Linked DNA regions of Pelodiscus sinensis. The protein of the gene in region 3 interacts with the protein of the main gene of each other region in a pairwise test. Links are inferred from orthologs where the notes say so. Each region holds a gene or a part of one and is shown on either strand. Other genes may lie near its edges.

The links.
Region 1: the proteins of HOMEZ (region 3) and LNX1 interact in binary tests that used the Homo sapiens proteins (3 or more experiments, as listed by UniProt). The link is inferred for Pelodiscus sinensis from reciprocal best matches to the Homo sapiens genes HOMEZ and LNX1.
Region 2: the proteins of HOMEZ (region 3) and MRPL11 interact in binary tests that used the Homo sapiens proteins (3 or more experiments, as listed by UniProt). The two-hybrid records come from large-scale screens. The link is inferred for Pelodiscus sinensis from reciprocal best matches to the Homo sapiens genes HOMEZ and MRPL11.
Region 4: the proteins of HOMEZ (region 3) and RPL9 interact in binary tests that used the Homo sapiens proteins (3 or more experiments, as listed by UniProt). The two-hybrid records come from large-scale screens. The link is inferred for Pelodiscus sinensis from reciprocal best matches to the Homo sapiens genes HOMEZ and RPL9.

What each region holds. Positions count from the first base shown.
Region 1 is NC_134715.1:85,860,298-85,868,293, reverse strand, and holds the start of LNX1 (E3 ubiquitin-protein ligase LNX), read right to left. Parts: upstream 3,005-7,996; 5' UTR 2,849-3,004; intron 1-2,848.
Region 2 is NC_134721.1:32,294,480-32,302,076, forward strand, and holds the start of MRPL11 (large ribosomal subunit protein uL11m), read left to right. Parts: upstream 1-4,591; 5' UTR 4,592-4,749; intron 4,750-4,792; exon of another isoform or gene 4,793-4,813; intron 4,814-6,371; 5' UTR 6,372-6,383; coding exon 6,384-6,506; intron 6,507-7,597. Other genes in the region: uncharacterized protein LOC102453925, read left to right, coding at 775-812, 911-1,005.
Region 3 is NW_027465928.1:42,010-49,871, forward strand, and holds the start of HOMEZ (homeobox and leucine zipper protein Homez), read left to right. Parts: upstream 1-4,847; 5' UTR 4,848-6,535; coding exon 6,536-6,964; intron 6,965-7,138; coding exon 7,139-7,252; intron 7,253-7,862. Other genes in the region: PABPN1 (polyadenylate-binding protein 2), read right to left, coding at 967-1,006, 1,198-1,349, 1,555-1,642, 1,736-1,842, 1,928-1,995, 2,951-3,032. UniProt on the Homo sapiens protein: May function as a transcriptional regulator.
Region 4 is NC_134715.1:92,988,899-92,996,673, forward strand, and holds the start of RPL9 (large ribosomal subunit protein uL6), read left to right. Parts: upstream 1-4,775; 5' UTR 4,776-4,889; coding exon 4,890-4,935; intron 4,936-5,013; coding exon 5,014-5,129; intron 5,130-7,098; coding exon 7,099-7,194; intron 7,195-7,461; coding exon 7,462-7,594; intron 7,595-7,775. Other genes in the region: LIAS (lipoyl synthase, mitochondrial), read right to left, coding at 1,775-1,947, 4,146-4,234, 4,270-4,345.

The DNA.
Region 1 (7,996 bases), on a different chromosome or scaffold from region 3:
CAGGGGCAGCAGGACAGCCCAGACGCGCCGTGGCTATCCTGCTGCCCTCGGGCTCCGCGGCTTTGCTCTGCTCTGCTCCCCGTCCCCCAGGTCTGCAGACCAGGGGGAGGGGGAGCAGAGTAGAGCAGAGCGGCGGAACGACAGCCCAGACGCGTCTGGGCTGTCAGCTGGCCGCGTGCTCCGCTCTGCTTCCCCCCCCCCCCCATGGTTTGCAGACCAGGGGGAGGGGGAGCAGAGCGGAGCAGAGCAGAGCGGCAGAACGCGCGGCCAGCTGACAGCCCAGATGCATCTGGGCTGTCAGCTGGCCGCGTGCTCCGCTCTGCTCCCCCCCCCCCTGCAGATCAGGGGGAGGGGGAGCAGAGCGGAGCACAGCAGAGCGGCGGAACGCGCGGCCAGCTGACAGCCCAGACGCGTCTGGGCTGTCAGCTGGCTGCGCGTTCCGCCGCTCTGCTGTGCTCCGCTCTGCTCCCCCTCCCCCTGGTCTGCAGACGGGGGGGGGGGAGGGGGGGAAGCAGAGCGGTGCGCGCGGCCAGCTAACAGCTGGCCGCGCGTTCCGCCGCCGCTTTGCTTCCTCTCCCTGGTCTGCTCGAGACCAGGGAGAGGAAGTGCCCTGTTCGTAACTGCGGATCCGACGTAAGTCGGATCCGCGTAACTCGGGGACTGCCTGTACTGACTAAAGACTCTGACTGCCACCCAGAGCACACCATGCTGGCCATTCCCAGCCCTTAGAGCTGCTTGGAGTGCATGCACGGTGCTCCAGCAGTGATTTAAAGGACATGGGGCTCTGGTTGCTGTCACTGAGCCCCAGGCCCCAGAGCAACTGACCTATTTACCCCTCACCCTCACTTCCCGTAGAGGGCCTGTAATATTGAAATATTGCATTTTGGAATTTGTCCCTTTGTCTTCCTGCTTGAAAAAAACGTTGAGCTATTGGATAGTCTTACATTCAACAAAGTAATTCAATGTTCTACAATGCAATGAAGCTTATCTACCATCTCATCCTGTGAGCGTACTTTATTGGCATTTTGTACAAAAATGTTATCCTAGGAGAGATACTGGATACTCTTCAGAATGCTCACACAGGAAATTTAAATTTTCAGCTCTGATAAATAAGCACGATATTGAGTCAAGGGCCTTCTCTTTTTCTAATGCAGTGCTACGATAAAGCACTGCAGCAGTTAACGCCCAAACGCACAAGCAAAGAACAAACCTCTAAATAGCACTAATGTTTGTGGAACCCAGAACAAGATGAGTCCCAAGTGAGTGAAAGGAATTGACAGTGGAGGCAGGAATATTTTCAGGTGGCAAGAGAAGGCTAACAGACAGCTTGTTTCAATTTATATTTTTGGAAAATATACAATCAGAGTTTTGGGGTGAAAGAGTATATGATAATAAATTATTAACAGATTACTTCCTTGAGAAGAATTTTCCAATATTATCTCAGGAAAAAAGCAGATTAGAGCATTTAGTGTAGAACTTCTCAAAGAAAGCATCCTTTCAAATGCCTTATATAACCCAGTGGTGAATCCTAGCCTTCCATTTTATAGATCAGTGATTTTTTTGTTTTAACAATAGATGATAATATAAAGCACAGGTTTTATTTCACTGGGACAACTGCCAAGCTATTGGTGTTGTACTGTAGGAATTTGACTGAGCAAATACAAATAGATTCAAGGGAAAAACCGGATCCTCAATCTTTACATAGGATTCCACAGCGCAGTTCTGTGTAAAATAAAATAAAATAAAATAAAATAAAATAAAATTAAATAAATAACAATCAACTGATGTAGCTCCCCAGTGAGAACTTTTAAGGTCAGTCTTGCTCTTTTTATTGCTGGGAGAACAATTTGTTACCAATATGTTTGCCAATAAATGGAAAGCATGAATTACTGCAGCTGTGTTCTGAATACTCTATTTATGATATTTCTGAGATAGCTATGCATCTAAGACCTCAATTCAGCAGTCCATCCTCCCAACCCAGCAAAACACTCCAGGCACCTGATAACTCCCTTTGACTAAATCTCTGGAAGTACTTTGCAGGAATGGGATGGATGTAGATACATGCTTAAATACTTTGCTGAAATTGAGGCATTAGCAGGTATGTGCCAATACAGGGTCCAGTCCTGTGAACTTTTGCAGAGGTCAAAAGACCTATAAAAGTTAATGGGACTGCTAATATATGCATAAATTATTCACAAGTGTAACTATGTAAAGGATTCAGGTCACAGTCTGCAGCTATATCATTAAAAACTTTAGTTGCTTTAAGTTAAAACTTGACTGTGAGATTAAGTTAGTCAGTGGAAGACTGTATGTGCCAAAAGCAAACCAACACAAATTGAATTAAATAATTTATCTTTTCAAAGGTAGTTCAACATTCTGATCTGAAGGGATATCATTTTGATGTTAACATACTTTACCACAGATGAAAGTTTACTTAGAAATGTACAAATACAAAACAAAACACAACTAGCAAACAGAGATTTTGTGGATTAAGGCTGATACTATCCTTTCCAACCAGAAGAGTATTTTAAAATCAGTTAGGAAGAAACACTGTTACACTGCAATTAAGTTACAAGCCTTTTCCTATGGATTATGAAATTGATCAGCATTTTAATTTATGAAGAGATTGAACTAAACGTATGAAGTAATAAAAAGTCACTGCTGAGGCCATGGTAGCAAGTAATTTCATAATTATAAAGACGGAGATACTAATTGATCCTTAAACTGTCCTTTCCTCTAAAAGAGTACAGTATTTTGTTCACATGATCAGTTCCTTTCACATTTGTTTTTTAGACAAATATGTGGCCAACTGAAGATTAAAAGTCAGAACAAAATGTTTTAAACTCACCTTTCTGTCTTACTTTCATTTATACAGAGTTGTGCTGCTGCTGCTAGATTCCTGCAGGTGTAATTTAATGAACTTTGGCAGATTTTCTGCCCAACAATGGTGTTTTACCTTTCAGTCTGATTTCTGTAAGAAGAAAACTCTTATTGGTCGCACCACATAAGGAAATGCCTGACATCACAAAAAGTAGAAAAGACAAGCTTCAGTGCACACTCATAAGCAATTTAAAGCTTTGGCAAACCAGGCCCTAGGCTGCTCACACCTGCATGTTCAGACTTATCAGATAGCAAAAGTCATTTGTAGATTTTAGTTTTCAACATACATTCCATTTGATTTTTGTGCTTTTCACTATAGTATAGCTTTTCCATCTGATCAACTTTTAGTACAGGTTTAAAACAACTGAATGAAAACCTGTGGACTGGTTCAAGACAAAACTTTGTTTTTGTTTCCCCCTGAAGAAGGCAGATGAAGCCAGAAAAAACTGAGCAACCCTAGCTCTGCTTTTGAACTTTTGAAATGTAACTTTCATTCAGTTTAGTTTGAGAGCTTTGGACACAGACCTAGAATCCTAGGTTCTAATCCTTGCTCTGCTGCTGGCTTGCTGGATTCCCAGACAAATCATGTATAAGATCACTTACCCCTTTTTCTGCTTCTTAATAGTGCATAAAAGAGGCCCTTTAAAAAAAACTAATCAAAATATCAGGTATGGGTTTTCCTTGTTTTTGCTGAAGGGCCTCTGGGAAGAATCAGAGAATGTTGTAAGATCTTAGGCCTTAATTGAAAAGACAAAGATGTTGAATTTGAGCAAAAGCTTCCTTTATATCCATAATGTTAGTCAATGCAATTATAGAGGTGTTAGCAGAAACAGCTAAAAAAAAGACATTTAAAGACAGTTTTATTAGAAATCATTTCCCCCTCCCCCACAATTGTTCAACTTGCACTTTTTTGGCTCTTGAGATGTCACCATTTCACTAATGTCCAGTCATCAGAGAGTTTCAGGTCTAGATTATTTCTAATATGAAAAAGAAGCCTTTTTGAAAGAGAAAAAGAGAGAGAGACCTTTCAAGCCATATTATATAAACATACAGCAGCAAAAAAAGACTACATCTATTCCACTCTCTCCTCTGTCCCTCCCCCTCCACCACTTTGCAGGTCTCCTTTATCCTAACTATCAAAGTTTATCCTCCATTAAATGGGTATATTTACCTATTTCACTGGCTTTTAATTCTTCTAATGTTTTTTCAGTAGCAATAGATGAAAAGTACAATGTAAGTGCTGACTATTATTTAGAATACCATTTTTGTAAAGCAAAACCACAATTAAAATACACGTATATATTCATTTCTGAAAGACCATCACAGTACCTTTCCCATAATATGATAGTGGTACGTAAGCAAAACACATCTCTCTTTCTTTTCAATTCATACTTGAAACAAACAAAAAAACCATTATCCACTTGGATAGTAGGATACTCGGTCAAGTGCTAGCGACCAATTATAGGCTGCTAGTAGAATGGTTTAAATAGCTCAGTTTAGAACCATGCAAAAAGAAAATAATGCAAAACCCACATTCAATTTAAAAGAATAATCCTTTAGGAGTCAGCAGATGAAGAATCAGAACTAGAATGACTACTCTTTTAAAAATTAAGAGCAAACTTCATAATCTTGATTTCAAGTTTGACTCTTCCATAGCAAGCAAGCCAACTAAACCACCAAAAAAAGAGTATATTTTATGGATAAAAATTAAAAAAGAGAAAATACCATGAATATCAAAGAGATAAAAAGCTGTACAGGTATACAGCATTGCAGTGAAATGACTACGTATGAATGTTTACAATAAAAATAAAAACATCTCTTTTGTCTGAAAGAATATTTTCATTGGCAGAAAACTAATGTAGTGATTACATGAATCATTACAAATACAGGGCCTTCAACTCATAATTGTTGGAACGAGGAGTGTGGGAGATGCTGCAGCACCCTGTGATTTGAAATGGTTTCCATTATACACAGAGTTTACAGTTTGATTGAGTGGCTTTCAGAACCCCCACTATAAACACTCTTCCAGCATGCCTGCTTTTCCCTAAGAAAGATTAAAAGAAGATGTTTTCATTAAAAAACACTGATTCTACAGCTATTCTACCTCATGTCGAAACAAAAATTCAGTTGTCACTAATGAAAATGTTTGTGACTAATGGATCTTTGCATCTGTCCTTTGATTCATACTGTAAGATGCTTTGTTTATCCTTCAAAATACACTAAAAACTGAATGGCAGTGAATCACTACAAAACCTAAACTAAATATTTACTAATGAAATGTCATCGTTATATACAATTGAGTTTTAAAATGGTATTTAAACTACACATACTTAACTGTGAGCAAGTGCTTAAGTCCATCCTTATTCAACAAAGGGACTTAAACATATACTTTGACTTCCACAATGATTAAGCACATGCTTAAGTGCTTTGTAGAATCAGGGCCATAGGGCTGGTGATGTGTCTTTATGTGAGGTCCTATTTTAAATCTGCCTCTTATTTACCCAGGCTGAGTACACTAGATGCTTCTTTGAACTAATGAAATTCCACCTAATGATTTAGAAGTTCACTTGTCGGATGCAAAATCAAAAGAACAAAAATGATTCATTACAGTTTTACTGTCTTTAATTTTAACACATTATACAGTTTGCATCAATTGACTGAACACACAACATCTGATTTTAATGTGTAGCCTTTCTAATTGAAGTCATTCTATACTTCCAAACTGCTGAAAGTATTTACATCAGGACAGCATAGTGTACATTCAGTTATTCATTTCCTTCTGTTAAGTTACTTCAGCTTCTGGTATATTTACTGGCACATGGTGTAGACTCAGTATACTACAAATTAGTCCAGTCAAATTACTGAAAATTGTAATAAGCAAAATGTTAGATAATATTGTTATAGGATAGGTGCTATTTGTGTTGAGCTCTGATGAGAGCATTAGTTTTTTTCCCACGCAGCCTCAACTTAAGTTTCTCCTAACCTTAATGGTGAAGTTGCCTTTCCTCACACACATCGGAACTTTCTCTAGGAAATTCTATGGAGGCTAGGGTCAGATTGACACCAGTGTGTGTTCATCTGTGCAGCTTGCTGATGGGCACTATTACAGCCCATCCTTCCAACTGTAGCCAATAGATATCTGTAACTTTGGACTGGCAAAAACAGTCCCTATAATACTCTATGCTGGGCTAGGGTGAAAGGGCATGGAGCTAAGCTGTGCAAAATGGAGAAGATGCAAAGTCACTTGAATAATAATTTCTTCAGTCCCCTTCACTGCTCTTCTGCAATGTTGGATGCTATCTACAAGTCCAAACCCGGGGATGAATTTTCCTGAGTGCCAAAATTTGCCTTCAGCTCTGGGCATAAATGTGGGGGGAAAAATCTCTTGATTCTATTGAGTTGTTTCCATACATACCAGGTCTGAATCTGGCCCACTGAGTTTGGAAGGGCAAAGACAAGTCTGGAAATGGTCCCTCATCATCCAGTTTAGTAACGGCTTTAGGTTTAAAGCCATTGTCTTTGTTTCTATTCTCCTCACCCATCCCTTCTTTTAGGGAATTAACATTTTAAATCAGATTTAAAAACCTGGGCATAGTTTTCTGGTGGATTGTGCCACGTTGGAAAGGGAGTTTACTATGGATTCTCTCATGACCACTGAGCATGGTGTACCAGTCTGCTAGGAGATGGCACTACGGACTCTCGTTTAACAACTAGTCTAGTGATGCCAGACTAAAAACACATTGTACTGTGAAGTTCTATGAAGGACCCTCACAACTGGCCCTATGTGGTATGTATACCCAGCAGTTAAACACCCAGGGCTAGCCTGGAACAGCTGACTCGGGCTCACAGGGCTGGGGCTGTAAACTTGCTGGGTAGACATTCAGGCCCAGAGTGGACTCTGAGCTCTGCACCTGGTGAAGTAGAAGGGTGGATTCTGCACTGAGCTGCACACCTACACAACAATTTTTAGCCCCATAACCTAAACCATGGGAACCCAAGTTAGCTGTCTTTTGTGCCAGTGTACACATGACTTTAGAGAGCTTATCTCAGTGCAGTTTGCATAATGCAAGATTTTCTGTGATGTGAATTTTTATGGGAAGTAAAGTTTGTCTTGATGTACAGGTCTAACGGCTTTAACAAAAAGCCCATGGAATGAAAGGAATCTTTTCATTGATTTCAGTGGGATTTGGATCAGGCTCTACCAAGCTGAAATGAACTATGTGGTGTATATGTTGCTATATAATTTATGGCTTAATTTTCTCTATACCATACCTTTACATTTCTGGAAAACTGCTGTCTGCAGAGGCAGTAGTTATTTTATGAGGTAGAGTGGATGCAGCATGCTATCATGTAGACTTCAGTATTATTCTTTGTTCCATTACTTTCCTTATTCTAAAATAGAAATGCCTAGAAAATGAAATGCAAGATTAGCTGGTACAATTGGCTACTCACTGATATGCTGTACCCCTTTTACAGTTATTTGTGATATTTGCACAATTCATCATTTTTTGTATGAGATATTGCACTAAATAGGAGTAAAAGACCCCAACCATTATTTAAATTTATAAAATACTAGCAGAAATACCTGGCGTCGCCTGAGGAAAATATAGTAAAAAGTGTGATGAATGAACTACGTCAATGACATTAACATAGCATATTTTATTGGAAATACTTTTCTCTTATATATTACTTTAAGAAATTAACATAGCTAGTGATGTGCTTACAAAATGCATTTACATTTAACTCATTTCTTGATAACAAAAGGTGTGGTGAATGAACTACGTAAATTATGTTAACATAAGATATTTTATTGGAAATACTTTTTCTGTTATCATAGGGAAAAGATCTCGTAGTTGCAGTTTATGTGACACGCTTAACAGAAGAGTCCAGCAAATGCCTATGATCAGGCACTACTAAAAGCAAATTAGTGGCCCAATTGGGGCTCTGGGGGCCCAACTGGGGGTCTAGGGGAACTGATTTCGAGATATAACCAATACAGTTATTTAAGTTAGGAAATCAGTAGTATCTGTGCAAAATTTTGTGTTTCTATGATCAGGCGCTACTAAAAGCTAATTACCAGTGGGCCCAATAGGGGTTCTGGGGGAACTGATTTCAA
Region 2 (7,597 bases), on a different chromosome or scaffold from region 3:
TCCCCCCAGAAATGTATACCCTGACTGCTCAGCCCTGTAAGTCCATTATTCCTTTAAAGGAATAATATACACACAACTTGCCTCCCTAATGGAGTTACACAGACTCCAACTTAAACCCACCAGAGTAGATACAACATTCGTTAACTACACAGAGATGTAAGTGATTCTGAGCAATAAACATAAGAGTCAGAGATGGTTACAAGAAAAATAAAGACAAAACACTTTCTAGTGCCAAACTATATGAGATACAAAGTAAAGTTTCTCACCACATGCTTCCAATGGCATTGCTGACTGACTTTTTCAGGTTAGACCCCCTCCCCAGGGTGCAGCAGCTGATTCCTTTGCCTTCCCAGGTGCAGAGAATGAGATAAACAGGGAGATGGAGAAGCATGGGGGGGATGCTTTGTATGGTTTCAGTCCCTCTTTGAAAAGCATTTCCAGCTGAGACCCAAGAGACAGGGAGCTTGGGGGAGGCAGGAGATCTCATGCTCTTTCTTAACATGCAGATCTCATTTAAAGGGCCGTGGTGCAAGGACCCGTCAGGGTGTGTCTTCTCTGTGGAGGAGGAGGTGGGTAGCAGGCAGTTCCACAGGGTGGAGCAGGTTGGCCTCATTCTCCTTAGAATAACACAGCCCACTCCATGGACTGGGGGGAAGGACTGGATGGGCACTGAGGCTGGGATCCACCTGTGTTCAGAATGGTCCCTCGGAGCAAGTAGGGGTTTGCCCAGCTGGGAGTGCCCTGACTCTTCTATGTTTGTGCTTCCTCCTCCAGGATACCATCGCAGGAACCTGCAGCTTGCAGTTCCACAGGTGAGGAGATGCCTACAGACCAAGACAGGCTAATACAGAGCTGGGAATAGAACCTAGGAGTCTTGGCCACACCTGCTTACTCCATTTTACCCGAACAGAGTTCTGCAGTGACGCAGAGGAGCTGAGAGCAGACCTGGAAATGGTGCTGAGGGAGGACCAGAGCCTGGATGACCAGGACGACTTCTACGACTGAGGGAGGGATCCAGCACAGGTGGGTCCCAGTGAGACAGGGAAGATCTGGGATGTGACTATCTCCACGGCCTTGTGGGACACAGAGACAGTGTTGGGAAGCTGGCCTCTAGGGGAGTATCTAGACTACAGGGTTTTGTCAACAAAAGTGGACTTTTGTCAACAAAACTATACCTGCGTCTACACTGCCACTGAGTTCTGTTGACATAACGTCGACAGAACTCAGCAGTTTTGTCGATGGCTGTAAACCTCATTCTATGAGGAATAACACTTTTTATTGACAGAGTTCTGTCGACAGAAGGCATTACTGCATTTACACTGTCCTTTGCGTCTACACTGTCATGTCGACAAAGCAGCTTGCTTTGTCGACAGAACTGGATGTAGTCTGGGCGCTCTTTGTCAACAGAAGCTTTGTCGACAAAAGCCTGTAGTCTAGACATACCCTAGGGTGGGAGTGACACATGGACTGTGGATTCCCCTACCTTGCAAAGTATGACCCCTCCTGGGGCAGCCCCTTGAGTTTAGGGGAGGGGTGAGCTGGGAAGGTTCAGACTTGGCACCACTAACTTTGGAAGGAGGGCAGAGTGGAGAAGCAGGAGTTCTGAGGGGTACTTCAGCACCACATCCTCCCTCTCCTCCCAGAATGCATTATGTTACTCCTTCCATGGACCCCCAGCACCCACTTTCATCTTGCGAAAGCTGGATGTAGATTCATAAATGATAGCTAGGTTTGCAAAATGTTTGGGGCTGGTGTAAAAAAAAAAAGCGAAATGATTTACGCTTGCTAAGGGTCTGGCCCTTTAGCCCACCCAAGCATTGACCTCGGTTCTCCTATCCCTTGGCAGCCATGTAAATCCGGAGTGACTGCATCCCTGTCTGCGTGGTTATGCCAGAGTGAAATGAGTGTTGGTGGGAGAAGACTCAATGCGGCTGGATGGAAATGGAGTTAATGTTCATGTTACAGTGCAAAGGTGAAATTAAAGCCTACCAGGAGCTGAGCAATGTGGTTGCAGCACCTTTGAATTTGAAATTGTACCATTTGTGTTTCACTATTTGCTCTCCTGCTGCTCTGGACCATTCAGATTTTCCTACGAAATAATACTAGTCCTTGAAGCTGGTGGAAGGTTTTCCAGATCAATGTTTTTCCAACCAAAAATGGCTTTTTGACTAAATGAAAATCCCATTCTCTCCCTCTCCCCTCACACCCCACCTGCCCCTTTAAAAAGCTATATTTGTCAAAACATTTCCAGGGAAAAACTAAAATTTGCAACTTTCAACGACAACAAAAAGGTGTGGGATTTTTTTGTAGGGAGATGAGGGGAAATGTGGATCAGGTTTGTTTGTCAAGCAGCTGTTCTAGTTACTTTAAGAAGGGCCAACAAATATTCCAGAGTGTCTATGTGCAAGAGAGATTCTATGTTGTTTTTTTATTACAACGAGTAATCCTGTGGCACCTTAGGGTATGTCTACACTGCATTCCTCTTTCGAGAGAGGAATGCAAATGCAGGTGAACTAAATTGCAAATGAAGAGCGGATTTGAATTTCCTGTACTTCATCTGCATAATCGCGTCCGGGCGCTATTTTGAAATACCTTATTTCGAAAAAAGAAACGCTGTCTAGATGCGGTTATTTCAAAAGAAAACCCTTCTTTCAAAATTACCCTTACTCCTTATACAATGAGGTTTAAGGGTTATTTCGAAAGAAGGGTTTTCTTTCGAAATAACCGCATCTACACAGCGTTTCTTTTTTCGAAATAGGGTATTTCAAAATAGCGCCCAGATGCGATTATGCAAATGAAGTGCGGGAAATCCAAATCCGCTCTTCATTTGCAATTTCGTTCACCTGCATTTGCATTCCTCTCTCGAAAGAGGAATGCAGTGTAGGCATAGAGAGACTAACCAATAGGGTGTATCTACACTTGCAGCCTAATTCGAACTAGGGCTGCAAATGTAGGCATTCAGAATTGCAAATCAAGCCCGGGATTTAAATATCCCACACTTGATTTGCATCTTCTTGGCTGGGCGCCATTTTTTAAATTTACAAGCCCAAAGTAACTGCCCGTGTCTACACGCGGCAGTGAAACGGGTGTTCGAAATAAAGCCCTAGTTCGAACTACCTGTTATTCCTCCTGCAATGAGGTTTAACAGGTAGTTCAAACTAGGGCTTTATTTCGAACGCCTGTTTCACTGCCGTGTGTAGACGCGGGCAGTTACTTCAGGCTTGTAAATTTCAAAAATGGCGCCCAGCCAAGAAGATGCAAATCAAGCACAGGCTATTTAAATCCTGGACTTGATTTGCAATTCCAAATGCCTACATTTGCAGCCCTAGTTCAAATTAAGTTGCAAATGTAGACATACCGCAAAATACATATAGTATCATGAGCTTTCGTGGGCAAAACCGACTTCTTCAGATGAGACTGAGTGGAATCACTCTCCTATGGTCTCCATTCAAGTTCATCGGAAGAAGTGGGTTTTGCCCATGAGAGCTCATGATATTATATTTATTTTGGTTAGTCTCTAAGGGTGCGTATACACAGCCCCCTTATCCTGAAATAAGCTATGCAATTTGCACTATGCAAATTGCGTAGCTTATTTCAATGTTTTTTCTAAATAAAGCACTATTCTGAAACGTCCCTTATCCCTTGTGCAATGAGGTTTACAGGGATGCCTGACTAGCGAGCCTGTTATATTTCGATATAATGGGCTTGCTCTTAAGACAATCGATATTTTGGGAACCTGGAGGTATCCCGAAATAGCTCCACTGTGTAGACATAGCCTAAGGCACCACAGGACTATTCATTGTTTTTTAAGTCACAGACTAACATGACTATGCCCCTCTGAGATGTTTATTGTATTGTGAGTTTTGTGATATTTGTTTTTTCCCTTTAAACTCCAGCACCTGCACTCTTGGAATTACAGAAGAATCTCAGCATTCATTAAAATAAGTAATTAAAAGTCAGTTCTCCTGAGTGTGGAAAAAAGCTTTCCCAAGTGCCCCGTAAAGGCTCAGAAATCAGAAGACAAAAATCATCCCCTCACGTATTTACGTTAAAAACGGATCTTTGCCTGGGTTTTCGGGCCACGCTCTTATGGGCATTTAGGCTTGGCGTTGCTCAAGACTGCCTCTGTATGGCATGTACAGGGAATCTACCTTTTGGGGAAGATGCCACACGTTTGCTAGAAAGCCTGGAGGAGGCGAGAGAAGGCACTGGGAACCGAACACCTTGGGTTACAAAGCTTCAGGGGGTAGCCTAGTCAGTCTGTTACAGACAAAAACAACAAATGGTCTGGTAGCACTTTATAGACTAACAAAACATGTAGATGGGATCATGAGCTTTTGTGGGCACAGGCCACTTCATCTGAAGAATGAAGTATTTTGGGGGGTTATAAAGAATAACGAGCTTGGATGGCTCGAGCTGCTCCCTGGAATAAACCAGAGCACTACATGTTCTTGTCTGTCTCACCTGTTTTGACATGGGAACTACCTTTCCCGGCATGCACCTGTGAGGGGAGACACCCGCTTTCAGCATGCACACGGAGGAAGGAAACTACAACTCTTGGAGCATGCCCTTGGAGTAGCACAGGAAGAGCTAGTGAGAACTACATCGCCCGGCATGCATTTGGGCGCGCACGTGACTGGGAGGGAACTACAGCTCCCGGCATGCCGTTCGCCCAGCCACTTGCCCTAGTATGGCTGCGCCCAGGCTGGGCTGAGCGGCGCGAGCGCGGTTTATAGTGGGGCTGAGCCGGTGAGTTCCGAGCGCGTGGGGCGCACAAGGCAGCAGCCGGGTCCCGGAGGTGGGAGGCAAAGGGGTGAGGTTCAGGGGTTTGAGTAGTATGGTGGGGGGCTGAGCTGTGTGCTTGGGGTGTATGGGGGCCCTGGGGATTGGGGGGCTGAGCTGTGTGCTTGGGGTGTATGGGGGCCCCGGGGATTGGGGGGCTGAGCTGTGTGCTTGGGGTGTATGGGGGCCCCGGGGATTGGGGGGCTGAGCTGTGTGCTTGGGGTGTATGGGGGCCCCGGGGATTGGGGGGCTGAGCTGTGTGCTTGGGGTGTATGGGGGCCCCGGGGATTGGGGGGCTGAGCTGTGTGCTTGGGGTGTATGGGGGGGCCCCGGGGATTGGGGGGCTGAGCTGTGTGCTTGGGGTGTATGGGGGGGCCCCGGGGATTGGGGGGCTGAGCTGTGTGCTTGGGGTGTATGGGGGCCCCGGGGATTGGGGGGCTGAGCTGTGTGCTTGGGGCGTATGGGGGCCCCGCGGATTGGGGGGCTGAGCTGTGTGCTTGGGGTGTATGGGGGCCCTGGGGATTGGGGGGCTGAGCTGTGTGCTTGGGGTGTATGGGGGCCCTGGGGATTGGGGGGCTGAGCTGTGTGCTTGGGGTGTATGGGGGCCCCGCGGATTGGGGGGCTGAGCTGTGTGCTTGGGGTGTATGGGGGCCCCGCGGATTGGGGGGCTGAGCTGTGTGCTTGGGGTGTATGGGGGCCCCGCGGATTGGGGGGCTGAGCTGTGTGCTTGGGGTGTATGGGGGCCCCGGGGATTGGGGGGCTGAGCTGTGTGCTTGGGGTGTATGGGGGCCCCGGGGATTGGGGGGCTGAGCTGTGTGCTTGGGGTGTATGGGGGCCCCGGGGATTGGGGGGCTGAGCTGTGTGCTTGGGGTGTATGGGGGCCCCGGGGATTGGGGGGCTGAGCTTTGTGCTTGGGGTGTATGGGGGCCCCGGGGATTGGGGGGCTGAGCTTTGTGCTTGGGGTGTATGGGGGGCCCCGGGGATTGGGGGGGCCGAGCTGTGTGCTTGGGGTGTATGGGGGCCCCGCGGATTGGGGGCCGAGCTGTGTGCTTGGGGTGTATGGGGGCCCCGCGGATTGGGGGCCGAGCTGTGTGCTTGGGGTGTATGGGGGACCCGGGGATTGGGGGGGCTGAGCTGTGTGCTTGGGGTGTATGGGGGCCCTGGGGATCGGGGGGCTGAGCTGTGTGCTTGGGGTGTATGGGGGCCCCGTGGATCGGGGGGCCGAGCTGTGTGCTTGGGGTGTATGGGGGCCCCGGGGATCGGGGGGCCGAGCTGTGTGCTTGGGGTGTATGGGGGCCCCGGGGATTGGGGGGCTGAGCTGTGTGCTTGGGGTGTATGTTAGAGTGGTTGAGTAGGGGGGTATCTGTATGGCTGTATAAGAGAGCTGGGAGGCACTACGACCATCAAGGTGCAGTGGTTTCTAACTTTGTTGTGGCATGAGCCACAACTTGCTGAGGTCAATGGCACCTCCTCAGTACAAGAGGTGCCCTCCCTAGTGCCAGCTTGGTGGGTGCTAGAGAAAGCTGCCAGTTTCCCTGGGGCTGGATGTGTCCCTGTGACTTCCCCTCACCTCTGTACTCACCTCGCAGCCGAGACTCACCATGTCAAAAATCTCCCGTGCTGCCAAAGCTGTGAAGAAGGTCAATCCCGGGAATGTCATCCGAATGATCATCAGGGCAGGGCAGGCGGTGCCGGGGCCTCCCCTGGGGCCTGTCCTGGGTCAGGTAGGCCAAGCCCCTCACTATATGTGTGAGCTGGGGTGGGGAGTGCAATGCTGGGAGGGTCGGGATGTTTAACGAGTGGCATGGGTTAATGAGGTTCTCTGCAAGGTCAGCGGGTGTGTCTAGGACAGCGATGCTCCAAAATAATTCTCTCCCCAAGGTTCTTGATGCCTCCTATAGCCACTCACAAGATGGGGTGCTCAAGGCTGTGTGATCGGTGGGAGGGATGTAATAGTGTAGTTAACCAAAGCTTATCCATTAATGCTATAGAGTAGACTACATGTGTTTCCCCACCCCCACCCCACCAGTAAATTTTTTAGCAGCTGGCCAGCAGCCCGGCTCAGTCCTTGCTTGTTCCAGATCCAGGACCTTCCCCCGCTGCAGCTCTGTGTTTAAAGTGTATTAGGAGCCAGGCAGATAGCCCGGCTCAGTTCTGGCTTGTGTCGGGTCCAGGAGCTCAGACCCACCCTGGATAGGGGCTGCTGCCTCTGTATCAGAGGCAACAGCCGGGGGGCAGCAGGCAGCCAGTATGTGAGGGAAGCTGGTTTTTAAACTGGCTCCCCTTATGGACCAGCTCCTGCCTGGCACCCCCCACTGCTGCCGCTGACACAAAGGGAGTCTGTGGCTTGGAGTCTTGGTGCAGCCCAGGTGTCTTTCTCTAAATCTTCACTCCAGTCAGCAAGCAGCTCTGGGTAGGATCCCCGGGGGGGATTAGCCAGCCTGCGTGATACTCAGGGTCAGACGGCAGGAGCTGAACGGGCCCTTCTGGCCTTGACATCGGACTGCACAAGCACCTGCTGCACCCGATCCCACCGTGTAGCTCCCATACTGCCCAGCACGGTGCCTGCGTGTTGTCACGTTTGCCGCTGCAACCCTGTCCATGCTGCTGGGGCTCCAGGCTCTGCTCAGACAATGGCTAAAGGGCTGAAATGCTCCGCTGGCTGCAGCTGCTGCTTGTACAAAGGTAGAGCCCAGAGGCACCGTTCTGCTGGGCGCTGTGCACACCCCTCCCCTCTGCCCGGCTGAGATCCGCCCGGGCGGTGCAGGGGCTTGGATCATACCCAGCACTGCACAGACTCACCCCAAGAGACAGC
Region 3 (7,862 bases):
CCTCCTGGGATCCCTCCCTGGACCCCAGCAGCCAACCTCAAGGGCCCTTTTCACCCACCCCTCATGTGATCCCTATTCCCACCCCCCCCAGCTCAGGGCCCCTCAGTGAGTTGGGGGAGGCCAGGAGGGCTTCAGCCCAGCCCCTGGGCAAATACAACTTTGATCCCTACGAACCCAGGAGTGCTGGTACCTGCTCCCCCGCCCCAGGGTTCTGCCCCCACAAATCACCTCACCCCCTTTTCTTTCTTCCAAAAAACATCTTTTATTTTTTTTCCACCCTCATAACATTTTTTTTATTTTTCCCCCCTCCCCCCTGCCCTAGCCCCACCCCCCAGCCTGGAAATTAAAATAAAGGGGGGAGGAAATAGCCCCCCCCACTCTGCCCCCCCCATATTTAATCTGGTCGCAAGAGCTTCGTGCGGCTCGACAATTCCTTCAGGCTAAAGCCACCTGCAAAGATAAAGACACTGAAATACGGCAGGTAACAGCCCCAGCCCGGATGGAGGGAACGGAGAAGGGGAAAGAGCCGGGCGGGGGCAGAAGGGGCAGGGCCGGGGGTGTGTCCTGCCCTGCGTGGGGAGAAGAAAAGGAAAGAGATGGGAAGATCCGGTCGTGTCCTGAACAAGGGAGCCCCGGGCGGAGAAAGGGGGCGCCGCTGAGACGGGATCCGGAGGGAAGGGGGCTGAGGGGGGATCCGGAGGGAAGGGGGCGCCCGGAGCGAGACGGGGAGAAGCGACGCGCCGGAGGAAGGACCCAGGCGGACAAGCGATGGGGCCGCCCGCAGAGAGAGGGGGAGCAGAGGAGGAGAGAGGAGGACCCTGCTCAGAGAACCAGCCTGGCCCCGGTCAGCCCCGCCCGCCCACCGCGCCCCACGGCTCGCCCCCACGGGGCTGCTCCAGCACTGTCACATTCTTCTTTTTTTTTTTTCTTTTTTTTTTTCCTTTTCTTTCCCAAAAAACACTTTTTTTAGTAAGGGGAATACCATGAGGTTGCTCTCGCCCGGCCCCTGCAGAGGAGAGAAGAAGGGAACGAGTTAATAAGCCGGGGGGGGGGGTGAAAGGAAGAGACAATACAACCAAAGAACCGAGGTGTCCTGGCTCCCAGCCCCTCCCTGCTCTACCCACTACCCCCCACTCCCCTCACAGAGCCAGGAGAGAACCCAGGCGTCCTGCCCTGCGCCGGCCCGGCCCCCCAGACCTGTATGAGCGTCCGCGGGGTCGGCTGTTGAATCCGCTGTAGAACCGGGCCCGGGAGCTGGTGTAGCCAGAACCGCGCCCTCGGTACCGGGCCCGGGGGAAGCCTCGGTCTGTGGTGCTGATGCCGGGCCGGTTGGTCCGTTTGGGGATCACCTGGGGGGCAGAGGAGGAGGGTCGGAGCACCCCAGGGACAGGGAGAAGGGGGACCAGAGGAGAGTTGGTTGGTGGGGCAGGCTCTGGGGGGCAGAGACAGATCTCTGGCTGGTACAGGGCTTTGAGGCAATGCTGCTGTGGGCCTGGAGAGGATCTGAGCCCAATCTTGGGGCTCAGGGCCCGGGTTTCGGGGTGCAGGACTCACCTTGATCTGTCGCCCCCTGAACAGGGATTCATCTAGCGCCATGGAGGTGCGTACAGACTCCTTGTCGGAGAACTCGATGTAGGCAAACCTGGGGGTAGGGGGATCCCACGTTAGACACCCCAAAAGCACAGGGACCCAGCCACCCCTCCCGCCCCAGGAGAGCCCCCGAAAGCTCACTCACCCTTTGGGGTGCCCGCTGTATTTATCGCACAGGATGGTGACGCGGTTGACGGACCCGCAGCCGTGGAAATGAGCTTCCAGCTCTTCAGCCGTCGCCCCATAATCCACCTGGAAAAGGGGGGCGTGGGCTGAGAAACAGGGTCCCTGGAACCCCCCAAACCTCCCCCACCCTCATCATGGCTCCTCCACTTACATTGCCCACGTATATGGACCGAGCGTCCGCCTCCATCTTTTCCTCTAAGGACATGATGACAGGCCCAGCTGTGAAGACAAAGCGGGGGGTTAGTGAGAGGGAGGCTGTACCCCAAATCTGTCCAGGGGCCCCTCCCTTTTTCAGAATAGGAAGGGGAGCACCCCCTTCCTGCACTGTCTTTACCTGGCATAACTCATGTGGCTAGATGCATAAACAATTGTGTTTATATAGGCCCTACGCAAACAACCCAATAGGGCAACATTTACGTAGGACCTACCTAAATGATTCCGAGCACAGGAGTGTGGCACTGGGAGGCCCCAGAGGGCTGAAGGGGAAGGATGGTCACCATTTACACAGAACCCACACAAATGAACGGCCGGCGTTTACAAAATGTATTTATGTAGGTCCTACAAAAAAAATCCAACAAGCACAATTCCCATGTGGCTCTCAGCATTGCCACCCCCCAGAAGTCTGAAAGAGAATGGGGGGGGGGAAGCTACTGGTTACATAGGCCCTACACAAACAGAATTGTGACCCCCAAATGTCTCCTAGATTCACCACCCCCACAGTCCAAAGGGGGGTACTGGGTACTTAGGTCTTACACAAAGAAGATGGTGGCGTTTAGGTAGGTCCTACACAAAGAGCTTTCAGGAGGCCATAATTCCTCAGTGTCTCTAGACTTCCCAATACACAAGGGGCTCTCAGCTGGAATTGGGGGCGGGGTTATTGTTTATGCAGGCCCTACAGAAATAAAATAGCAGCATTTACCTAGGTCGTCCTGTGCCAAATGCGCCCCAGAGCAGGGAGGCTCCCAAACACAGAGAATTCCCCACCACTCACAGGGGCCCAGGAGGAAGAGCGGGGGAGGGGAGGAAGAGAGTTCCTGTTTACGTAGGACCTACACAAATAAAATCATGGCTGTGCTGCTCACAGGCGTGCCCTGGCTGCGCCACCCGCAGAGGGTCCAAGGGGATTTCTGGGGGGAAGGGGGAAATTAAAGAGGACACGGGGGGGGGTCCTCACCATTGCCTGGCGGGGGGCTCATGTTCATCTGCTTCTCCACCTCATTCTGCAGCTCCTTCAGCTTCTCCGCCTCCTCCTCCATCTCCCGCACCCGGGCTTTGATGGCCTCCAGCTCCTGGGAGGCACGGGGGTCAGCTGGGGGGACCCCCCACGGCTGAGACTAACACCCCCCCTTGACAACCCTCGCCAACATCCCCCCTCAGCGCTGCCCTTAGTCCCCCCTTGCGGCTCTCCCTGCTGCCCAGCCCCCCAAACTCCCTGAATGCTGACCCACACACAACCCCTCTGCCACTGAATCTCCAACCCCCTATCCTGGCCCTGACCCCCCAGATCCCGTGCTAGATCCCCCCCACACAGGGGGCACTTCTCAGTTGTGCCCCACCCCGCATTCCCCCGCCCCTCCCCCTTAACAAGCACTGCCCCTCCCCCAAGCCCCCCGCCCCTCCCCCACCTACCAAGCACTGCCCCTCCCCCAAGCCCCCCGCCCCTCCCCCACCTACCAAGCCCCCCGCCCCTCCCCCACATGCCCCCTGCCCCTCCCCCCGCTCACCGGGTCCTCGATGGCGGGGTCCCCGGGGTCCCCCTCGCCCAGCCCCGCCTCCTCCTCCAGCTCCTCGGGGGGGCGGTGGGCGGGGCCCCCCCCGGGCCCGGCGCGCGGGGCGGAGGCGGCGGGGGGGGGCGGGTGCGGGGGCCCCCCCCGGGCGCCCCCCCCGGCCCGGCCCCCCCCGTCCAGCAGCAGCTCCCCCCCCTCGTCCTCCCCCTCCCCCCCGCGCCGCACGCGCGGCCCCGGCTCCGCCCCCAGCGGCGCGGGGGGGCCGGCCCCCCCCTCGGGCCCCTCCCCCGCCCCGCGCGCGCCCCCGGCGCTGCCCCGCGCGGCCGCCGCCACCGCCGCCGCCATAGCGCCTGCTGCTCTGCCCGGGCCGCCGCGCCGCGCGCCGCTCCTCATTGGCCGCCGCCGCCGGGCCCCGCCCCCGCCGCCGCGCGCCATTGGCTGCCGCGCGGGGCGGGCCGGCGGGGGCCCCGGAGCTCGCGCGCCATTGGCGCCGGCGCCCGTCCGTCAGCGGGCGGCCGCGTCCCCGATTGGCGGCGAGCGGCGGAGGCCGGCCGGCGTCCCTGATTGGCTCCCGAGCCGCCTGGTCTCCAGCGCCATTGGCGGAGGAGCCCGCCGGTCCGATTGGCTGCGGCGCGAGATCCTGGCGGAAGGGCTCTGGGGGCTCGCGCGCCATTGGTGCCGACGCCCGCCCGTCACCGACACGCTCGAAAGTGATTGGCCGCCTTCGGGGGGGGCCAACCCGACGCTTTCGATTGGCCGCCGGCCCGCCATCACTCCAACGCCATTGGCGCATGCGCCCGCCCCTCATTGGCGCCCGCCGCTGGGATTGGCCGGAGGCTCCAGGGCGAGGCTAGCGCCTTTGATTGGCCCAGCGCCGCCTCACCCCCCCCCCCCTCCGGCGCGCTGCCTCCTGATTGGTGGGGGCTGTTGGCCCCGCCTCGCCGCTGCGACCCCTTCCGCCCGAGCCGCTGATTGGCTGCGCAACGGCCCCGCCCCTCTGACCTTTGACCCGCCAGCGTTTGACCCCCCTGGCCCTCATTTAACCCCGGAAGTGCCCGCTAGACTGCCCCGACCTTTGAACTCTGGTCCTTGACCCCCGCCTCCTCACCCCTGCCCCCACCCCTCACCTGCCAGGTCCCCTCTCTCCCCTTCCCAGCTCTGCCCCACCCCCACCCCCCCAACCCTGCCCCCTCCCCCACCTCCCACCTGCCCCACAGCCCCCACCCCTCATTCCTGCCCCCCAACCCTGCCCCCTCCCCCACCCCCCATTCCCACCTCCCTCCTGCCCCCTCCCCCCCCATTTCCTGGCCTGCTTCCCAGGATCCATTAGCTGCCTTTGGTCTCATCAATTATTGATCCCAGATTGGAGCATTTTCGGCCCTTTGGCTCCCCGGCCCCAGACTGCCGGACGCCTGGGTCCCTGCCAGGTTAACTCTGGGAGGAGCCTTTGCCCCGCCCCGGCTGGTAAAAAGGGGGATCCCTGGGCACAGGGAGGAGAGGAGGCTGGGCGGAGGGGACGTTACGGTAACCGCCCCATCCACTTTGGACATGGAGGGACACTAGAAAGGGAGGGGTGGCTGCCGGAGGAAAGAGGAGGAAGGAGAAAGAGACGGAGAGCGCGCCCGGGCGAAGCCACCTCGGAGCCACAGAGCCCAGCCAGAGCAACCAAAAGACGGATGGCAAGGAGAGAATGAGACAGCTGCGGTGGAGAGATCGAAGGCAGCCCTGAGAGAAGAAGAGAGTCCGCAAGGGAGGAAAGCGGCAGACAGTTGCAGCGGGATCAGAGGAAAGAGGAGGAGACGGCGCAGGAACGACGGAACGAGAGGCACCCCGGACGGAGAGAGAGAGACCACCAGTCCCTGGCAGAACATGGAGAACAAACCAATCTGGCTGGCGTGAGAGATTCGGACTCTGAGGAGGAAAGGAACAAGCAGGCAAAGGCCAACAGATAGAAGACGGCAGGGGCCAGACGGAGACGGAGCCTCAGAAACTCAGGAAGGCAGAAGGCAGTGAGTTAGGTGTAGGAGAAAGCGCCCCGCCGGAGCAACAGAAGGAGAATTTTTGGAAGGAAAAAACACAGAAGATTGTGACAAGCAAAAGAACGAGTCAGATCTCAGCAGAGAGAGAGACTCGGACCCTCCAGAAGAGGCAACGGAGGAAGGCAGCAACAAGGAAGCGGTAGAACAAGCCGCCGCCATGACGGAGCAATAAAACAAGCCACAGCCCAGATGGACTGAGCGGCAGAGTGGACAGAGAGCCAGCAGGATTCAAACCCCAGATAAAGCAACAGAGCAAGCCAGAGCCCAGGAGTGATAGAATGAGTTGGCTCCCAAACAGAGCGACAGAACAAGGCAGGGCCCAGACACAGCGGTAGGACTCAGCACCTGGGTGGAGCGATAGTGACGGCCAGATAAAGCGATGGAGCCAGGCAGGGCTCAGACTGACAGTTAGAACAAGGCCCAGACGGAGTGAGAGAAGGACTTAACGTCTGGACCGAGCAATACAATGAGGCAGGGCCTTGGCCAGTGACAAAAGGACTCAGCCTCCAAGCAGAGCGACAGAACGAGGCAGGGGCTGGGACGGTCGCAGGGCTCAGCCTCCAAGCAGAGCGACAGAACGAGGCAGGGGCTGGGACGGTCGCAGGACTCAGCCTCCAAGCAGAGCGACAGAACGAGGCAGGGGCTGGGACGGTCGCAGGACTCAGCCTCCAAGCAGAGCGACAGAACGAGGCAGGGGCTGGGACGGTCGCAGGACTCAGCCTCCAAGCAGAGCGACAGAACGAGGCAGGGGCTGGGACGGTCGCAGGGCTCAGCCTCCAAGCAGAGCGACAGAACGAGGCAGGGGCTGGGACGGTCGCAGGGCTCAGCCTCCAAGCAGAGCGACAGAACGAGGCAGGGGCTGGGACGGTCGCAGGACTCAGCCTCCAAGCAGAGCGACAGAACGAGGCAGGGGCTGGGACGGTCGCAGAAGGACTCAGCACCCGGGAGGAGCGGCACAAGAAGCCAGTGCCCACGCGGACCGAACCAGGCCCCATGGCGCGCGCCCCCCCGCCCGCCAGTGACATCCCACGCAACCTAAGCTACATCGCGGGGCTGTACGAGCGGGCATATTACCGCACGGTCCGGCCCAGCCTGGGCGACGACTCCGACTCAGAGGCCGAGGGGCGGGCGCGAGGGCCCAGGCCGCGGGGACGCCAGGGCCGGGCGGGTGGCAGAGGGGGGCACCGGCGCCGCAGGGCCCGCTCCGCCCCGGCCGGAGGGCCTGGGGGGGGCTCCCGCAGCCGCAGCCCCGGCGCCCGCAAGCGGGTGCGCTTCGCCGATGCCCTGGGGCTGGAGCTGGTGAGCGTGAGGCGCTACTGGCCAGCCGAGCTACCCCAGGTCCCGGAGCGTGTGCACACCCAGCTGCGGCAGGACACCCTACGCCACTTCGCCCCCCTGCGGCCCCTCTTCTCGCCCAGCCAGGTAATGGGGGGGGGCAGGAGAAAGCGGGGGGGAGCATACGGGAGGAGAAGACAGTGGAGGGATGTGCACAAGAGTTGGGGGGCAGGTCCCCAGTAGGGGGCGTTGGGCTCCAAGGTGGAAAACTGCACATTAACTTTCTCTTTCTTTTTCTCCCCCCACCCTGGCTTTCTCCAGGACCCCCAGGACCCACAGGCAGGGCGCCTGCCGCTGGCACCGTGTTTCCGGGACCCGCTGGGACTGCCGGACTTCGGGGCACGGCTGGGGGCGCAGGGCGTGTGCCTCGAGGGGGTGCGAGCCGGGGGGCTGGGGGTGGCGGGGACCCTGCGGGTCCTTAACCTGGCCTACGAAAAGAGAGTCAGCGTCCGCTACACCTGGGATGGCTGGGCCAGCTACCGGGAAGCCCCCGCCGCCTACGCCGGGCCCCCCGCCGGGCTCCTGGCCGGCCCCCCCTCCGACCGCTTTGCCTTCCGCCTGCCGCTGCCCCCCGGGGGCGCCCTGGAGTTCGCCCTCCACTGCCACGTGGGGGGCCAGGAGCTGTGGGACAACAACGAGGGTCAGAACTACGTCCTGCGGGGCGGGGGGCGGGCCGAGGGCCCCCCCAGCCCCCCACGAGATGGAGAGGGTGGCTGGATCCACTTCATATAGCGGGGTGCACAGCCATCCCCTCGTGGAGAAGAGACTTCACGGGGAGGCCCCACTTGCAGCCTCCAGATCCTCTGGGGGATCTGTGCGGGGGGGGGAGGAGGGTTCGAAGTTTAGGGCCCTGTGGCCATGGGGGCAGGAACGGGGATGGGGGGGATAAAAGGGGAATCGCGGGTTGGGAGGAGGGTTGGGCTAGGATGGGGGCGGGTGCAGACCAAAGACATGCCCCCTCCCATCGGTCACCACCCCCTGCCCT
Region 4 (7,775 bases), on a different chromosome or scaffold from region 3:
TAAATGGAAGCAAACTTTGCCTATGTAATCTTCTTTACAATATTGGGGGCCTAGGTTTAATTGCAGAATCTTTATTGTTGGAGACGCATGAACCAGAAAGAACCCAGCTTGTCTTTAAGATTTCAGACTGACTTTGTGTAGCTGGAAGTCCCTAAAAATAATCTATTTAACTTGAAAAATGGACATATTTGATCTCGAAATATTTGACACACTAAACATAGTGTTCCAAAATGTCATTTTTATCATAACTCTTTCAGATTAGAACTAAATTTTATAGAATAACACAGATTGTCATAATAATACATGGGTTTGTATAAAAGATGGATGCCTATAATTCCATAATGTATTATTTAGTGCACTAAAGCAATTAGCAGCTAATATGAACACGTCCCAACACAAGGACTACAGATACTACATTAAATTAGGGCAAAACTTATACCAGGGCTGATTATATTACTTCTGAATGAGACTTTATGTTACTACTGACTTTACACAGAGTGGTTGTTACTGAACACTACTAAATTACTTATTAATAAACCACATACAACTGTGGTGCAAATTCCTTTTTACCATGAATACATTCAGGAATAGGTTAAAAAAAAATCAAACTTGCCAAAATCATAAGTGATTTATTTAGATCTGTGAACCTTCAGTATTATTTTATTCATCAAGTAAGTGATTCCTTCCCCAGCTATAATTAAAACAGAGCTATGTAGGTGGTATTTTAGGTATTAGGGTTTTTTACTTGTATTTATAACAGTTAATCTTATCAATTGTGTTAAAATTACTATTAGCTGTCTTATCTACACGTGTTGTGCTTAAAGAGGTCATATAAGAACTAATACTTTCCCCTCTTCAAATGACCGTTCCTTCTAAAATGAAGTATGAAGTAGCCATTCCGGTACTACACAAATTGATAAAAACAATATGGTACATGAAGGTATTTGTATACTGTAGAGTACCCAGAAATATCAAGTACAGTAAACTTCCGATAATCCGGCACCTTTGGGACCCAGGGGGTGCCGGATTATCAGATATGCCGGACTATCGGAAGTGGGGGCTATGAGGGCTCTAGGGTGGTGTGGGGGGGATATCACTCCAAACCCCTCATAGCACCCCCTTCCGATAGTCCGGCTCTGCCCCAGGCATCCCCGATTCAGCCGCTGCTGGTCAGCAACTGAACCTCAGTTGCTCTTGGGGACACCTGGGGCAGAGCAGCTGGGGTGCTGCCGGGTTGGTCCCACAGCGCCAAGGGGCGGCACTACCGGACCAACCCGGCAGCACCCCAGCTGCTCTGCCTCAGGCATCCCCAAGTCAGCCGCTGCTGAAACTGACCAGCGGCTGACTCAGGGAAGCCCAGGGCAGAGCAGCTCTGCCTTGGGCTTCCTGGAGTCAGCCGCTAGTCAGTTTCAGTGGCGGCTGAATCGGGGACGCCGGGGGCAGAGCAGCTGGGGTGCTGCCGGGTTAGTCCCACAGCGCTGAGGGGCAGCACTACAGGACCTACCGGCAGCACTCCAGCTGCTCTGCCCCCGGCTTCCCCGATTCAGCCACTGGTCAGTTTCAGCAGCGGCTGAATCGGGGAAGCCGGGGGCAGAGCAGCTCCAGTGGTCTGGTTGCCCAGAGTACTTCCGGGTTCCTGATGGTGCCGGACCATCAGGAGTGCCGGACCATCAGATGCCGGACCATCAGATGCCGGACCAATGGAGTTTTACTGTAGTAAACAAAGTATGATACTACATCAGAGTAGAGTATAATTACTTAAAACTATAATTACCTTTCTCCCTTCTGGCGTTTCAGATTGCCTTTATACTCAGCCCACATGCTCTTGTCTGAAAAATCCCCAGATACAAAGTCTTGCAAATCAGGTCCATCTTGCAGAAATTCCTTCTTTTCATCTGGCAAAGAACCTGATGCTCTGTACTGGCTGCACCCATGGCTTCCACATACCTAAACAAAGCAGAACTGTATTATCTATTTAATTATAAATGTGCTATATGTATTGGATATATGCTAGTGTACATCTCTTGAGAGGTGAAAGGACTTATTTTAGCTTCATACAGAAGCTAAAAAGTTAACAATTTACTTGAAGCATGTAAATAAATAACAGGAAAGACTTCAAAAACAACAATAGACTAGTAGCACCTTACAGACTAATAAAACATGTAGATGGTATCATGAGCTTTCGTGGGCACAGCTCACTTCTTCAGAAGACAGGAGTGTTAAAAGTCCAGATCCAAGAATAAATAAGGGAAGGCGGAGGGGGGGAAGAGAAGGAAAAGGAGGGGAGGAAGAAAAAAGAGAGACAGTGAGTAGATAAGCTTCAGAGCGGTAGCCGAGTTAGTCTGTACAGTAAAAACTTAAAAAACAACAAATAGTCTAGTAGCACCTTAAAGACTAACTAGTTGTACCTACTTGTACAACACTCCTGTCATCTGAAGAAGTGGGCCATGCCCACGAAAGCTCATGATACCATCTACATCTTTGTTAGTCTGTAAGGTGCTACTAGTCTATTGTTTTTTTTAAGTCTTTCCTGTTACAGACTAGACTCAGCAATCCCTCTGAAGTAAATAACAGTTCATGATGGGCAGGCACTGGAGGAAGAGCAAGCTGTCCATCCTAAAATTTAAGATAATAAATTATTACTGCCTAATTATTTAGAACTACTGTGGAAGATTTATTTTCACAATTTAAATCTAAGTTCCATCTTTGGAAGTTTGTGCTCAGCTCTCCTCGATTTAAATGGGAGCTACGAGCACATACCCGATAGCAGAACTTTTGCTCATTTTCGAGTACAATCATTTGAAAATCCAGAACAGGCAATAGGAACTCCAATCAGCAGATGGAGACTGGAAAATAACATTTCCTGGTCTCATTCCCTATAAAGGATGCAGCAAAGCCCTTAAGTTTCAAGAAGTGAAAATCAAAACAAGGGAAGAAGCTGAACATGTAAATGTGAACAAAGCAATAAGCAATAAAGTGGTGTCTCTGTCAGCACTGCTTCCTGCAGCTCCCATTGGCCAGCAATGGCAATCTGCGGCCAAGAGGAGCTGCTAGCAGCTATAGCTGCGGACTCAAAGGTAAATAAAGCATCTGGCAGCCTGCCAGGGTCAAGCCCTGCTGAACCTCGTCCAGCCTGCAGGCCGTTTATTGCACAGAGTCTGGGGTCAGCTCCGTGCGGCACTACTTGGTATTCAAAGGGGCAGCGCTGCATGGACTCTGGGGTCAGCTCCATGCGGTGCTGCTTTGAAACACTGAGGTGACATTTCAAAGGGGTAGTGCCACATAGCTGAGCCTGGGATCAGCTGTGCAGCGCTGCCCCTTTGAAACATCACCGGAGCGTTTGTGTAGAGCCCAGGGTCAGCTGGAGACTCCCCAGTTGACCTGGGCTCTGAGTGGCATTTCAAAGTGGCAGCACAGCATGGAGCTCAGAGTCAGCAGGGGACTCTGAGTCCCTCCTTAAACCAGGCTCCATGAGGATGCTTCCGTTTTGAAATGCACAAAACCGCTGGTGGGGACTCTTGTACATTTCAAGCTGGCACCTGCATGCAGCCTGGAGTCAGCGGGACTTCCTGCTGGTTCTGGAGCTGCATGTGGAGTTCCGCATTCCCAAAATGTAAATCAACTACTCAACTAATAAATTACTTAATATTTAACATCGTTACTCCTCCTGGCATCTCAAAGCAGAGTTCAGCTGCAGGCATAGCGTGGGAGAGTCCTGCCATTACTGCTACTCTTCCCTCTCCACAACTGAGCTCTCACACACCACGGAGGATGCAGAAGAAACACAAAGCAGCAGTGTCGCAGTCAAAATTCTTCTTCTCAGCTCCCTGTAACTTGAACAATCTAATTCCCATTTTTTTTCTTTTTACCCCTCCCTTATTCGATCTGGGCTGTTAATGCTCCACTCATCTGGAGAAATGGGTTGTGCCCACGAAAGCACAGGGACAGGAACCAGCCACTCGGTGCAGAGCCACGCCCGGTAGCAGGAGGGCTCGGTCTCAGGGGGACGAGACGCGGCTACTAGCCAGGCGAAGCTACAGCCACCAGGCAGGGCGGGGGCGATGCACGGAGCCGCGGGGCGAGCGGGAAAGACCCGGCCGAGGGGCGGCAGCTGCCTGGACCGGGCCACTCTCCAGCTCACTCACCCGCCCCTGGGGCCCCAGCAACAGCAGCCTCAGGCTCGTCATGGCGGCGGCGCCACAGCAGCGGCCGCGCGGGAGCAGCGCCATGACCCCTGGGCGGGGAGGCGCCGCGGCCTCGGCCGCTCGCTTTCTGTCCCCCTCCGAGCCCTGAAGAGCCGTCCCGATCGATTTGTTCGGAACTCACCGGATCTGCCTGCCCCCATGCCCTTTTTGCGCGGGCCTTGATGCGCTCGGCGGTCGATCGCTCCTGCCTCGGAGACGGTTGGCCGAGCGCGATGACGTCAGCCTAGGCGGAGGGCCTACAAGAACGCGATGACGAAAGACGCTCTCCCTTTCCTTTCGGTCTGCAGCGAGGTGAGGAGTGTTTCTGGTTCGCAATCTGCTGCCATCCGCGGCCCCGGGGCCCTCTCGCGCTGCGCCGCTGCCGGGCCCGGCCCGGGGGGGCTCTAAGGGCCGTTGGGGCCGCCCCGGAGAGGCACTTGGCCCCGGCCCGGGGGAGAAAGCCCCGGGCACAGTCACCCCCCCCCTCCGGGAAGCTAGGCCGGGAGCCGGCGCTGGTGCCCTTTTCCCGAGCCGCGCGGGGGCTGTCGGGCCGGGTCTTAGTGGCGGTGGCCGGGACGGGTCGGAGCCCGCTGTGTGGAGCGGCCGTTGCCTTGGCCTGTGGGTCCCGGTTCGGGCGGGCTGGGCAAGGCGCCGTGCGGGGCCGCTCTGTTGTCTCTGCCCTCACCCTGTGCTTGTCGTTGTAGAATGAAGACCATTCTCAGTAACCAGACTGTCGACATCCCGGAGAAAGGTACAGCCCCTTGCTAGTTCCACGTAGGCCTTGCGCGCTCGCCCTGCCGCGCGTTAACTCGCTTTCCTTGTCTTCCAGTCGACATTTCTCTGAAGGGCCGGACAGTTATTGTGAAAGGTCCCAGAGGAACCCTGCGCCGAGATTTTAACCACATAAATGTAGAACTCTCCCTCTTGGGAAAGAAGCACAAGAAGGTGAGCACAGTCAGGGTCTCTAGGGCACTAATTTGGAACCCTGCTCTGCCATGAACTTCCTATGTAATCTGTAGAAAGTCACTTAACTGTGCTTGTTTCAGTTTTTGTCTGTTTATTTTGACAACAGTGCTTTCTGACTTCACTAGCTGGTGTGGGACTAAAGATTGTGGGCTGCTCAGCTACACTGATAGGGATCATGCAAGTTTCTAAGAGGCTTGGAACTTGTTGGGTGTTAAGGGTTCAGTTCTGCTCTGCAGTCAGGTATTATCAGTGTCTGTCATTAGGCATGCTGTTTTTGGAGGGGTGAGGGTTCAGTGTTAACATTCTGTGGTATGTATGTAGTTAGAAATGTGGAATGAACTAATCCATTTTCTGAAAGGCTTTTGGTTTCCAAAATAACAAAGTATTTAATTTTAAACTGTAACTACATGTAACTAGCTAGGTAACCTAGAATTCTTCTGCTGTGATAGCTCAGTACATCTGAGTTAAATTGTCTTGGATGTGTCATTTAATGACTGTATCTGCCTGGTCTGCTCTTTGAAATGTGTCTTCCAGTTATGCTAAGCAGGACATGACTTTGGAGGAGTGCTCGTTAGTACTTTATTATGTACTCCTTTCCAAGTTCAGTTTCTTTTTGGTGGTGATTACAAGGAAGCTAGATAGAAAGCTTGATTCTAGTTACTGGGAAGGAATATTTCCAAGTTTCTCTAAGTAAAGCACCCTAAAAACATTTCCTTAACCTTGAATATTTTTTGAATGAATTTTTGACAAGATGAGAATTAAAACCCACATAAAATATTTGAGAGGTGAAGAGTATGGCTTAGCACATCTGTGTTTTTGTTTTAATGTATAGATTAAGAAATATGCCACTGTCAGGGCTGCTTGCTGATATGTAAAATTGGTGAATACTTTTGCTAATGAACAAGCACAAAACTTGCTATCCATAACTATCAGTGTGAAGAGGTCAGAGATTGGAATGTATATAAAAAGGAAATGAGCTTCTTACCTGGAGAATCCATTCAGGAAAAAGTTTATGGACCAATGCTAGGAAGTTCACTTTACTGCCCTGTACTTTCCATGTACAATAATTGGCACTCATACATATCTGTCATCTGAGTGTTTTAAAGCACTTTGCATCAATACAGGTTAAACCTCTATTATCCAGGACTCTGGTCTGCCAATATCTGTGGTCTGGCAGGACCACAGAGCCCCAACTGACCAGCTTCAGGAACAGGGCTGGCAGGTGGCAGCGGACTAGCCAGCAAGGTGGGGGAGCACAATCCTGGCACTGTGGGAAGTGGAGCCCTAGCAGAACTGTGGGGCAGGGAGCAGGCTGGGAGGGGAGCCTTGATCTTTGGTCCAGCAAACTCTGAGAGTGGTCCTAATGATGCCAGACCAGGGAGGTTCCACCTGCATTCTTAAGTGTTAAAGCCTCCATTTTGCAAATGTGGAGATGGATTTGCTGACAGTTACACCAAAACCAGTGTAATTCGTTATAGTGTTGAAGCAAAAAATCACTCCTCTCTGTTTAGGCAGCTAACAAACAGCTTTATTAATTAATAAAGCACAGTATGAGCCAAACGTGGTCCCAGCAAAGCTGTTAATACAATTAATTCTAGTATTTTTATACCCTTAGCCAAACAGTTTGACGTCAGGACATCCAATTACAGAAATCTTTAATTACATTTGGAAAAACAAAGTCTTATTAACAAGATGGTGGACAGGTACAAGGGAGTACATCTCCTGTCCCAACCAGCCCAATTAACACATACCAATAGCCCATCCTGTAGGCCTTTTTTTACGGGGTGACAAAGTTTACTTTGGTCTATGTGCTTGAGAGAAGCTGAAATGGTTTCTGATATACAAGATGGCTTCTAGTTAAATATAAAAATGGTTTCTACAGCTTCTACAATAGGAAACATGTTAATCCTGAATTGAAACTGAATAATTGGTTTAATTTTTATTATAGCTACGTGTTGACAAATGGTGGGGTAACAGAAAGGAGCTGGCAACAGTTCGAACAATTTGCAGCCATGTTCAAAACATGATCAAGGGTGTCACATTGGTAAGTTTTATTTTGAAACAGAATATTTGTCATTTGAGTCTTCAGAATGAAGTTGTCTGATATTATGAGAATTTTTTAGCTATGCTAAATGAAAGATGCTATGTACAACAGCGTGAATACCTTTGAGACTCAATTCTTCAAAAGCTGATCTAACACTTCATCATATTTGTCCAGTAGCTATTAAATATAGTTCCTAGTTTTGCAGCCTGCTTGTTCTATGACATTTTAAAGTTCACTTGTAATACTTTTTTATTTGGTTACTCCCAGGGCTTTCGTTACAAGATGAGGTCTGTGTATGCTCATTTCCCTATCAATGTAGTTATACAGGAAAATGGATCACTTGTGGAAATCCGTAACTTCCTGGGAGAGAAATATATCCGCAGAGTGCGCATGAGACCAGGTAAGTATAGTTAGAGGTCTTGTACATTGCTAATTGAAGTAGAAAGTGTAGATCTGAGCGTGATGGGCTAGGGCTTATGGCTTGCCACTGTCCACATCAGACCAGAAACAAGTGAGCTCTAAGTAAAAGAGTAAAAAACATCAAAATGCATATAGTTGCTAAAACATACACACTTCAAAGA